Nothobranchius furzeri: one gene and its partners. The protein of the gene in region 1 interacts with the protein of each later gene in a pairwise test. Links are inferred from orthologs where the notes say so. Each region holds a gene or a part of one and is shown in the gene's direction. Other genes may lie near its edges.

Region 1 (4,312 bases):
GTCGTCTAACAGCCTGAAAATGGTTTGCTGAAAGTCTTACAGACCATCTGGTAGAACAACTGAACAAACACACACCAACACACCCAGTTATGTCCCCATTCACCTGCTGGAACTCTGTGTTGTTTATATTTGCCTATTTTCTAACAGTCAATTATGTTTGTTCAGCAGCCCTCTAATGAGAGGGGAGTAGTCCCAGCAGGGTGTTGTACTGGTCAGATGGTTAGATTAAAGAAACTCATAAAGCTTTATTAGAACCCCACACAGTGACCAGACAGTGGGCCGAAACACTGGCGGGCCATTCAGAACGCCACACACACACACACACACACACACACACACACACACACACACACACACACACACACACACACACACACACACACACACACACACACACACACACACACACACACACACACACACACACACCAGACAGACATGATGTGTTTAAAGAGAGTCTGGAAACTACAAACATGACAGAAAGACGAACAGAGATTCTTTCAACTGTTGCTTTAATTGTTGCTCTTTTAATGCAGCCGACAAAGTCAGACTGTTCATGAGAGAAAACAAGATCATCATTTACTTTATTCAGCTTTACTGTGTGTGGTCAGTGTGGACTACAGACTCACATTACCTCACGTCTTTGGTATTTTACTCTATTTCCTCTCTTGTTTTCTTTATTTCATTATTATAACTTTATAGAGACTTTCATGGTTTTATATTTCTAATGTGGTGAGAATGACTTCTTTTTGTTTATATTGAATATTTTTGGTTAAATGTAACCTTCAGCATAATTGAATAAGCATATTGTGGCATCTGTAACTTGTTCCTGTTTTTAAGATTTTACGTTTTAGCATGATGGAATCTTCCAATCAGGTTTCAATCACTTATTTTATTAACATGTTTAAAACAACTTTCATTGATCAAAGCCCTGTACAATTTTTAAAATGTGAACAATACCTCATAAAGCAATCAAATGCCACGTGAAAGGATACAAACAGATAGAAATAAAATCAAAAGCATCGTGAAATCAAGCAGTCTTAAAAATTTGTTAGTTTAATATGTTGCTGTGTGAAATTAATTTTTTTTCTGATTTCCTGATTGGCAGATATATAAAATCCTATTTACTCGTTTTTTTAGTCATTTCATCTTCTCAACTAGTAATCATCATAAGGCATCATATTTCTTATAAATATTTAATACTGAGATAAAGAAAAAATGTTATGCAACTAGCTGGGTTCAAGAATCTAAACGAGTTCAATTATTTATGGATTGAAATCTTTAAATATTTTCAGAAATGAAAAGTTTTTAAACGTAACTAAAGGAGATTTTTTGTTATGTTTTTCAAGGCTGGAACAGAAGAATCTAACCATGTTTCCGTACGACACCATTTTAAAGACGAACCAAAAACCACAGGACCGCAGTTGTACGTCGATCTTGTATTTTTTTTAGTATTTTACTGCGCTGAACAGTAATTGTTGATGCTTTTTTTTATTATTAAGAACTGTAAACAGCTGAAGCTGGAAGAACGAGGTTAGCTAACTGGCCGCGTGACTGCGTGACTTCGTGGGTTCTTGACACATTGTGAAAACTGGGTGAGTTCAGTCAGTTTTTTCTTTTTTTTTTTGAATTATTAAAGATTAATTAAGTTTTTAAAACAATCTAGCAAACCCTAATAATAAATTAAAGGTACACTTGTAATTATAAGTGTTTCAGCAATATTTCAAATGAAGGTCGACATTTTGGCAAGTTGTCATGACTGAATGAATGTTAGTTAGATTAATAAGGTTATGATGAAGCACCCAGCCTGCAAATTTTATTTTTTTGCCCTGAAATAATTTGAGTGGTTTTAGGAAGTGAAATGTATACTTTTGTGTTTTTCAATAATGTTTTTCTTGAATAAATGTTTATGTGTGCTCATAGCGTATCTACACAAATGTTAAAACCCTTAACAAACGCTCTTATTTTTTTGGCCAACAGTAGTGAAAAATAACTGATACTGTGCTATATGTAACCAAGGTTTAGGAGAATTCTGTTTTTATATAAAATATCATTCCATTAAAATGTGCTTAAATAATTATATCTGACATAAATTAATTGAGGAAAAACCATCAAGTACGTCATTTATTGATAAACTGTCAAATAAATAAGACTTCATTGATTAAAAACTGCTATTTAATAGAATTTCTGTCGAAATATGGTGTTACTACGTTTCCCATGATCCCTCGAGAGAACCCGACCAATTGGAAAAATACCTTGCTTAATTCAAATGTGGTGATTAAACTTCCTGAGTTGAAAATTGGCAAATTTAAATTAGGTGAACAAAAATGTAATAACAAAGTACTTGGAAGTGCCGTAAATCCTCTAATACAGGCCTGTATTCAATGAACGGCCGGGTCTCATATTTTGGCCGGTGTCGAAGTCGGCGGAGGTGAATAATGGCCGGTCTCTTATTGTGGCCGGGTGGAATGTGGTAACAAGCAAGTACGGGGGGCGGTTGTGTCATCGTCTCACTTTTGATTTGCCAGTGATAGACCGCGAGGGTAACTTTAACCGTGCAGAGATGACGAGGAGGCGAAAATTTGATATTGTAGCGACCCCGAGCGTCTCAGCGGCAGGTTTATAGTCCCCAGATCAACCAGCAGGAGGAAGCAGAGGTTCACACAGACCTTTATTGGGATTTTTCTTCAACAGTTTGTAACGCTACAGACACCAATCCTCTTATCACGCTCCTACCACACAAGAGTCACGGTGTCAGTTAACCATGCTAATTCAACCCGCTCCACAGAACACACATCACCTTCCCTGTGGCTTACATTAGCATAACACTCACACAACACGCAAATCAACACATAGGAACTAGCAGAATGATAGGAAACACATATAACACAATACCCAGAATGCACCTGGCTTACAACCCCAGCCAGGTCATTACAATATCAAGTTCAAAGAGAACGTGCGCTGCAGAACACTGGGGAGCAATAGTCAACTTCACTATAGTGACTTTTTATGCCTGTCATCGACTAGTCGCTGTCACGTGATAATGACCGGCAAGATGCAGCCCTTGGAAAAGACAGCAGCCTGCTGTCAGCAGGTGACAAGCTCCTGCGCTCAGGGGGGGGGGGGGGGGGGGCAACGCGCTGTGCCAGAGCGTCGGTACTGACACGCGACACTGACATGTCTTTTATTTGCGCCTGATACGCTTCGCTGTGGAGCGGGGCGCATCACCTTGTCATCCGGTGACGCACCGATCACTGATGCGGCCACCAAGCAGCGAGCACTCCGCTGTTTTTGCGGTTGGTAGATCTGCGTCCTGAGCACGGCCACAGTAACATTATCAAATCAGGTGTCGCCACCTCAAAAACTAATTTGACACGCGATCGTTCATGTTGGTTCATTTCCTTTAATGTTTTCTGTCTTTTATTTGTGTCTGATGTGTTTCACTGTGGAGCGGGGCGCATTACCTTGTCATCCGGTGATGCACCGATCACTGATGCGGCCACCAAGCAGCGAGCACTCCGCTGTTTTTGCGGTCGGTAGATCTTTTAGACTTGCAGTTCAAAGGTAACTCATAGGGTGAATATATATGAACCCAGGTAGCAGTTTTTCTTTAGGATTGAGAGGAGATGCAGGAAGATAATAAACAGACAGGACAGAAAAGTGGTCAAATAAAAACAAGTTAATTTTTGTACCTGGTGGTTGCAACAAACAGACACCATTGAAGGTAATCAGAAGTGAGGAACAGAAAATGAAATAATTATTTTAATGTTTAGAGCAGCAGGAACTCCAAGAGGCTGCAGGCGCATCAGTGAGTTTGCGGCCGCTGCGCAAGGGGAGGGGGGGGATGGCTGAAGCAGAAACTACCGTTGTTAAAAGAAATGTGTTTAACTTTGAAAATGTGGGCGCAATTTTAACTGTCAAAAACTCCAGCGAACCATTAGTTCATTTTGCTCAAGTAGAAATAGAGGCCTGCCTCTAATTCTGGCCCTCCTTCCAATAAAGGCCTGGAGCTTGATGAGCTTGAGTCAAATACAGGCCCGGGCCTGTATTAGAGGATTTACGGTATGTTAAAAATAGTTATTCTATGATATTGACAAATCAAAGAAAATAAAAATCACAGGAAAGGAAACTACATTAATAAAGCCATATTGCAGCTATCTTGAATGGCCAATTGCACCCAAGTTGAAAGAAATTCAGTTCAAAATAATACATAATATCAATCCTGCTGCCGAAACATTAAGAAAAAGATTTAATTTTGAAGTGAACCAGTGTGTCTTTTGTACGACAGAATGTGAAACTATTGAGCACCTTT
Region 2 (4,095 bases), on another chromosome or scaffold:
GCATTGCTGACAGCAGTAAAGGAGAGCTGCACACATGAACTCTTTACTAACACTTTCCTACGCTAACCAGCTGTGCCCCTGTGGTTTCATCCTCAGACGAAACCTTTGAAACGTCCTTCAAGGCATAAAAAAAGAAAACATGCACACCGCTTTGGGTAAAATCCTATTTGTACACTATAATTACACTTTGAAAAGTTGCAAAGTTTAAAGTTTCTAGACCTTCACTTTTTCTCTCCTCATTTCGGGTATTGATTTTGCTCTAAAACGCATGTTAGGCCAGTTGTTACACAGAACAAAGAGATTTCTCATTACACGTTGTGCCTCAGACAACTTTGAATGCTTCAGATTGGATTTACCCGCGTTATCAAGGGACAGATAAGGGAAAACGCAGTCAATAATTTTCACAACTATAGAACCACTGTTAATCTTAACAAGAAGGCCAGAGGCACTGTGAATGTGCTTGTTAACAACAAGGCAGTGGTGGAGTGATGGGTGTCTCTAATGTATTTAATGATGGAGATAAATAAAAGAAAAACATCTAAAACTGTCAAATTTGGTCAAATAAATACAAAGCAGAGCTAACCTCTTTCTCAAACAGCCCAATTTAGCTTTAAATGAAATAAAGAATGCATCATGCTGTGATGTGAGGTATAAAGTTCTAATAAAAACAAGTATTTACAGCTGCATATGTCATTGCCAAGTTGGACAGATTAGTTTGGATCCAATTGTGGTGCTGCTTGCAGTGTAATTACCTAGCAAAACTGTGTTTACAGAAACAAACCGTTATTAAATTGTTGGTTTTGTTAGCAGCGTTAAAAATATTTCCAAGGGAAACTGTTTTTGTACCATTAAAATCTGGTTCTTTTATCATATTTATCATATCATATTTATTTCTGATATAGAGTTGGACGTATTTGATTTTTTTTCTGTTTTACCTTTATATCTTCAGAGTTTAACATTCATGGTCGTGTAAATCAGTCTAAGAATGTGCAATCACACACACACACACATTCAGATTTTATGAAAGAAAATCTATAAGAAATGCTTTCAGTCAAAATATTATAAAGTCCTGGACAAAACATTGTAGCTGGAATCTTGTTTTAGGGCTTTTGGTGAGATTTTCACACACTGAATTAACAAAAAATGTGTTTAAATTGCACTTAAAGTGTTTTGGAGGTGTCAATCTATCAAGTTAGCAGCAGTGAGACGCCAGTCTCCCTTTTCAGAAGAGCGTTTGCATATAATCTCGCGATAACACGACGCTGTCACCAAGGGGAACGGGATTTTAAAAAGTTGTCTGCTCTGTTTACAGTACTGAGATTCTCTGTCAGAAATCGACAATTTAATAAGAGATCTGATTTTGTTTATCCTACTAGTTCAAGGAGACATGCAGCAGCGTCGCATATGAAGGAACCACGATGTCATGAATTATCAGTGTTTGGCTCTGTCGTCCCCTCACAGCGAGGTTTGTAATAGTTTTATCACGAAGGCAACATTAGCTTGCCCATGCTAGCTAACAGTCGTAGTTCTAGTGATTTCAACAACAGCGTGTTTTTGCAGGGTGATGTGATGCTAAGTAATGAAATGTTAACTTTTAGTTATTTGCATCACAGTAACGTTAAAATGGCGGGTAAATAATCGCAGTAAAAGAAGTTTACGTAGCTAAAATTGATGGTTCGCGCTTAGATTCAATAGTGAGTGTTGACTGAAATGGCTAACTTTACTTTATTCCCATACAGGTGTCAACCTCAACGCAGTAGTAGTTAGCAAGATGCCGTCGCAACAACTACTCCAACCAGTTCTTAAACTAAAGGTGGACGAGTTGTTTCTGAACTGGCTGAGTGATCCTGAAACCCAGGCGGTCCTCAAGGATTATCTTGATTTAATCAAAAATGGACAGTATATTGACGTGGGCAGTGAAGCCCAGGACAAAAAGGCTTTGAGTTTCAATGAAAACAACAATGTGGCGTCCCAGAAGAACCGGGCAGAGAAAAAACCTGCTCCCATCGGTACCCCGTCCGCTACCCAGCCCAACAGTACGCTTCCCTCTCGCAGTAGCAGTAATACCAGAGTGACTGGACCCAATAGCAGGGTACTAAGGAGGTCTGTCAGCACACAAAAGGTAAATGATTCAAGCATGAGTTCTAAAAAATACATATATAATTTTTCTAACATGTTTTAGTCATACATAATTTTTTTGTTATTAAAACTGTAATTTAGAATAAATGGTTTGACTGGCTTTAAAGTTATCCTACCACAGGGATCTCATATAAGGGTGCTCATATCAACATCACGTAAATGTTTTCACATGATACTTGTAAATAAGAGCTTGTGACATAAAATATATGAAAAATCATGTTTTTTTAGTAGCATGTAGTTATATTTTTGACAAGTTAAAGAAAAATGCTGAGCATTTAATCAGTGATTCCAGACATCTTCGGTAAAAATACAATATTACTGCCTAATAGTTCTTTAATAATGACCAATTCTTTAGAATATTACAGCTCTTTAGAAGTTTCACTACCATTTAAACAAAGGGATAACTTTAGTAATGATGAACAGTCTGACATCACAACTCAAAAGCTCGTCCTGGGCATTAACAGCTGAAATTAGTATATTAAAATCTTCCTAGCTGGAGTTTTTCTGGGATTTTTTTTATTTTATTTTATTTATATTTTTTTGTGAACCAATGAATAGTTTCTGTGTGTGTGATGGTACAAGTTACATTGCAAAACATGCATTCTTGAGGGGGGAAGCTCCCACATTTGTGAGTACAGCACACCAGCTGTATCTTTTTGGGATCTATTTCCTCCCCTGGCTGGCCACAAGAGGCTGCTGAGGACCTTACAGGGATGATGCCATTAAGAGGTTCCCAGAACTGTCAAGTGTATGTGTCTGTAGGCCTTGAATAGGTATTAATTAAATATGTTCCTAGTGTTCAAACCTCACCCACAAAGAAATGTGGTATGAGAGGGGGGAGTGTCTGTGCCAAGCCTTTTTCTGGCACTCGTGATGTTTGTAGGTTGTGTAATAAATCTCTCATTTGTAACAAAACAGCCCAGAGGTAGATAGTTTAGGTTATAATAGAAATGTATAGCGTTGTGAAAAACTATTTGCCCCCTTCCTGATTTCTTATTCTTTTGCATGTTTTGTCACACAAAATATTTCTGATCATCAAACACATTTAACCATTAGTCAAAGATAACACAAGTAAACACAAAATGCAGCTTTGAAATGGTGGTTTTTATTATTTAGGGAGAGAACAAAATCCAAACCTACATTGCCCTGTGTGAAAAAGCAATTGCCCCCCTTGTTAAAATATAACCCAACTGTGGTGTTTCACACCTGAGTTCTATTTCTGTAGCCACCCCCAAGCTTGATTACTGCCACAGCTGTTTCAATTAAGAAATCACTTAAATATGAGCTGCCTGACACAGCGAAGTAGACCAAAAGCACCTGAAAGGCTAGACATCATGCCAAGATCCAGAGAAATTCAAGAACTTTTGAGAACCAAAGTCAGTGAGATCTATCAGTCTGGTAAAGGTTATAAAGCCATTTCTAAAAATTTGGGACTCCAGCGAACCACAGCGGGAGCCATTATCCACAAATGGCAACAACATGGAACAGTGGTGAACCTTCCCAGGAGTGGGCGGCCGGCCAAAATTACCCCAAGAGCGCAGAGACCACTCATGCGAGAGGTCACTAAAGACCCCAGGACAACTTCTAAAGAACTGTAGGCCTCACTTGCCTCAATTAAGGTCATTGTTCACGACTCCACCATGACAAAGAGACTGGGCAAAAATGGTCTGCATGGCAGATTTCCAAGACGTAAAACACTGTTAAGCAAAAAGAACATTAGGGCTCATCTCAATTAGGGCTGCTCGATTATGGCAAAAATAATAATCACGATTATGGTGACTGAAATTGAGATCACGATTATTTAGGACGATTTTTCAATTTATGTTGATTTTATTTGTTTTTATTCAGTCATAAAATTGCTCAGGGCACAATCAGGACAAAAATAAGAAACAAGATGATCACTAAAATAACTCCTGATTGCCAGTATAAAAAGACCAATATACTTATAGCTCATAG
Region 3 (3,510 bases), on another chromosome or scaffold:
GAGCACTGACAGTGGGTCTGCATCTGCAAAGAAAGAGAAGGAAAAGAAGAACCGCAAAAAAGACAAGGAGAATGGCTCGAGCGGTGGCGAGGCTGGTAACCAAGACAACATTGATGCCCCTGAAGCTGTGGTATGTTTTTGGTTCGTCATGCACACATTTGGCATTCAGCTAGATGGATTCATCCACAAACAAACCCCCAAACTTTGTCCAAAAATAAAAACTACAACATTTACATCCAGTTAGGCTCTTTTTCTGATTTTAAGGTAACAAATTAAAAATTTTCCATGAGTTTTGTATAAACGGACATCTGCGTGCCCTTCTGGTGTTCAGGATAGAGACGATGATGATGAAGACTGGGCAGAAGAGACAACTGAGGAGGCTCAAAGGCGTCGAATGGAGGAGATCAGTGACCATGCCAAGAACCTCACGCTCAGTGAAGACCTGGAGAAGCCTCTGGAGGAGAGGGTCAACCTCTTCTACAGCTTTGTGAAAGTGAGACTCTGTTCAGCTTGGACTTAGTAGATATAAAAACGCAATTAACATTTGTTTTTGTTTCCTTAATGTAACCCCAGCATAAGAAGGAAAGTGGAACCATCGATGCGGCTGATAAGGAAGTCTTGGCGGAGGCGGAGCGTCTGGATGTGAAGGCCATGGGCCCCCTCATCCTCAGTGAGCTCCTCTTCAACGAGAACATCCGGGACCAGATCAAGAAGTACAAACGCCACTTCCTGAGAGTATGTTCTAAACGCTTCCACAGCCAAACACGACTTCATATGTTTACACGACTGACTGCTCGTTGTAGACATGAACGTAAAACCTTGACCCTAAGAGTTAGTTTAGGGTGGACGAACTGATGAGGAACACCTGGAGGCTTGTGTTGGAAAGTGCAGCTGCTTTACTTTGGTTTTTGCGGTTGAAGCCTTCTCCGGGTCAGGGATGAGGTCCTGCCCCAAGTGGAGGAGTTTAAGTATCTCGGGGTCTTGTTCACGAGTGAGGGAAAACTGGAGCGTGAGATCGATAGGCGGATTGGTGCTGCATCTGCAGTGATGCGGGCGTTGTACCGGTCTGTCGTGGTGAAGAGAGAGCTGAGTCAGAAGGCAAAGATCTCGATTTACCGGTCGATCTACGTTCCTACCCTCACCTACGGTCACGAGCTTTGGGTAGTGACCATAGGAATGAGATCGCAGATACAAGTGGCCAAAATGAGTTTTCTCCGCAGAATGGCTGAGCTCTCCCTTAAAGTGAGAAGCTCAGTCATCCGGGAGGGGCTCGGAGTAGACCCGCTGCTCCTCCAAATCGAGAGGAGCAAGCTGAGGTGGCTCGGGCGTCTGATTAGGACGCCTCCCTGGTGAGGTTTCCCGGGCACATCCAACTGGCACGAGACCCAGGACACGCTGGAGGGACTACGTCTCACCTGGCCAGGGAAGGCTTTGGGATTCCCCATGTGGCAAGGTGAAGACGAAAGAGCTGGACCAAGTAGCTGGGGAGATTGCTACCCTTTAAAGCTGCTTTTACATAAATCCTTTTCTTATTTTTAACTCAAAATCTTTCATTTGTTTTACTTTTTTCAGATGTTAATCTACTTCTGTTTTGAGATCATTATGTATTATTTTGTTTTGATCTTTGTGAAGCACTTAGTGATTCTACGTCTGTGATGAGTGCTATATAACTAAGTCTGGGCATCTAAGCCACAGGCAGAAGAGAAGGGATGGATGGGAAAATGTGTTGAAATGGAGAGAGAAGTGGTTTAGTCAAATGAAATCCTATCGGCATAAAATCAACGTTGTCCTTATTGTTTCAACAATCGTTGACTTTAAAAGATGAAATGAACAGTCCTATATGGAGATTTTTTAAATGACTGGCGGTTAAATTCCCCCCACAGTTCTGTCACAACAACAAAAAAGCCCAGAAGTATCTGTTGGGAGGCTTTGAGTGTCTGGTGAAGCTCCACCAGGTCCAGCTGCTGCCACGCGTCGCCATCATCCTCAAGGACTTGTACGACGCGGACCTGCTGGAGGAGGACGTCATATTTGCCTGGGCCGAGAGGGTGAGTCTGCGAGTGTTGGCTGTGTCTTTAGTCAGCCTGTGCTGGTTTTATGGAGACCCAAAGGAAATGACCTGAACTGGATCCTCAAGTTTTTATTAAAGTTTTCCACATATGTACTTGTGTGCCACCAGGTTTCTAAGAAGTATGTCTCCAAGGAACTTGCCAAAGAGATACACGCCAGGGCTGCTCCTTTTGTCAAGTGGCTCAAGGAGGCAGAGGAGGAGAGTGAAGGCAGTGAGGAAGAGAAGGAGGAAGAAGATGAGAACGTTGAGGTAAAATGTTTCCTTTTTGCTTTTGCAAGTGAAAGACATTACAGTACAAGCCGGTCGTTTGTATTTGTGGAGCGCTGTCATTTTTTACAATTAATGGATTTATTTTCATTATTTCTTAAGCTAATTTTCTCTAAAGGTCGTTCGGCTGTGTACGGTTGCTGCCGTGTCCGCAGCAGTCTCATGTCGTGAAGATTTTGTATGTGAATCTGCAGACTTGGGTAAATGCGACGTTGTGGGTGTTTTGTGCCTCAGGTGGTGTACTCTTCCTCTGCCCGCGAGCTCAAAGTTGAGACTGTGAAACCAGACACGCCTGAGAAGGAAGAAGAAGATATTGACATTGATGCAATCTGACAAATTTGGATGCTTCTGCTTTTCTCTTGTGTTGTGGTTTTGGCTCACAATGCCCTGTACAACATCAAATGCTTGGCTTTTCCTTCGACTCCCACCCACAGTTAGCCAGCCGCCCCCTCCCGCTTCATGGCTTGATATAATATAATGTTTTATTTGCTGCAAAGTAACTCATTCTAATCTGTATTCATTTAATTAGATGTGTGGAGTTTACTCAAAGGTGTATGAATCTTTGTGACTCTACCCCATCTCCCCCTTTTTTGTAGCTTTTTTTGTCAATAAAGATTTTTTGCTATCCACCTCAATTAATTGGTCTGAATGATTTATTATCCATTGTCTAAGTAACTATTAATTATTAGTGTTTCTTTGCAGTTTTATCTGTTTCAAACAACCAAAGCATAAATGATTTAGCTGTCAGCAAAATGACATTTTTCTCTTCACAACTCGGGCGCTTTCCCTGTCAGCCTGACTGGTTCTAGTGTTACCAGAAGTAACGGTGGCCATTACGATCTTCACTGACACTCGGCTTTGAACCACGCTGCTAAAAAAGAAATTGAACACAAAAATAAGACATTTTAGATCTGAATCAATTAAATACGTTGGCGAGCGCCTGGCTTTCACCCATGGAGCCCGGCCGGGCACAGTCCGAAGGGGAAACATGGGTCCCCCCCTCACATGGGCTCACCACTCGTGGGAGGATCTAAACGGGTCAGGTACAGTGTGTAACGTGTAGTAGACCTTGGCGGTCTGATCTCGTTACAGAAGCTGGCTCTTGGCACACGGAATGTCACCTCTGGTGGGGAAGGAGCCTGAGTTAGTGTGAGGTTGAGAGGTTCTGACTA

Evidence for each region.
Region 2: the proteins of dusp12 (region 1) and ppp2r3b interact in binary tests that used the Homo sapiens proteins (3 or more experiments, as listed by UniProt). The two-hybrid records come from large-scale screens. The link is inferred for Nothobranchius furzeri from reciprocal best matches to the Homo sapiens genes DUSP12 and PPP2R3B.
Region 3: the proteins of dusp12 (region 1) and eif5 interact in binary tests that used the Homo sapiens proteins (3 or more experiments, as listed by UniProt). The two-hybrid records come from large-scale screens. The link is inferred for Nothobranchius furzeri from reciprocal best matches to the Homo sapiens genes DUSP12 and EIF5.

Annotation. Positions count from the first base shown.
Region 1 is NC_091751.1:58,772,190-58,776,501, reverse strand, and holds the start of dusp12 (dual specificity protein phosphatase 12), read left to right. Parts: upstream 1-1,362; 5' UTR 1,363-1,426; exon of another isoform or gene 1,427-1,502; 5' UTR 1,503-1,595; intron 1,596-4,312. UniProt on the Homo sapiens protein: Dual specificity phosphatase; can dephosphorylate both phosphotyrosine and phosphoserine or phosphothreonine residues. Can dephosphorylate glucokinase (in vitro).
Region 2 is NC_091754.1:29,703,385-29,707,479, forward strand, and holds the start of ppp2r3b (serine/threonine-protein phosphatase 2A regulatory subunit B'' subunit beta), read left to right. Parts: upstream 1-1,258; 5' UTR 1,259-1,404; coding exon 1,405-1,465; intron 1,466-1,739; coding exon 1,740-2,122; intron 2,123-4,095. UniProt on the Homo sapiens protein: The B regulatory subunit might modulate substrate selectivity and catalytic activity, and might also direct the localization of the catalytic enzyme to a particular subcellular compartment.
Region 3 is NC_091758.1:10,703,217-10,706,726, forward strand, and holds the end of eif5 (eukaryotic translation initiation factor 5), read left to right. Parts: coding exon 1-130; intron 131-331; coding exon 332-493; intron 494-573; coding exon 574-735; intron 736-1,883; coding exon 1,884-2,048; intron 2,049-2,179; coding exon 2,180-2,320; intron 2,321-2,572; coding exon 2,573-2,671; 3' UTR 2,672-2,973; downstream 2,974-3,510.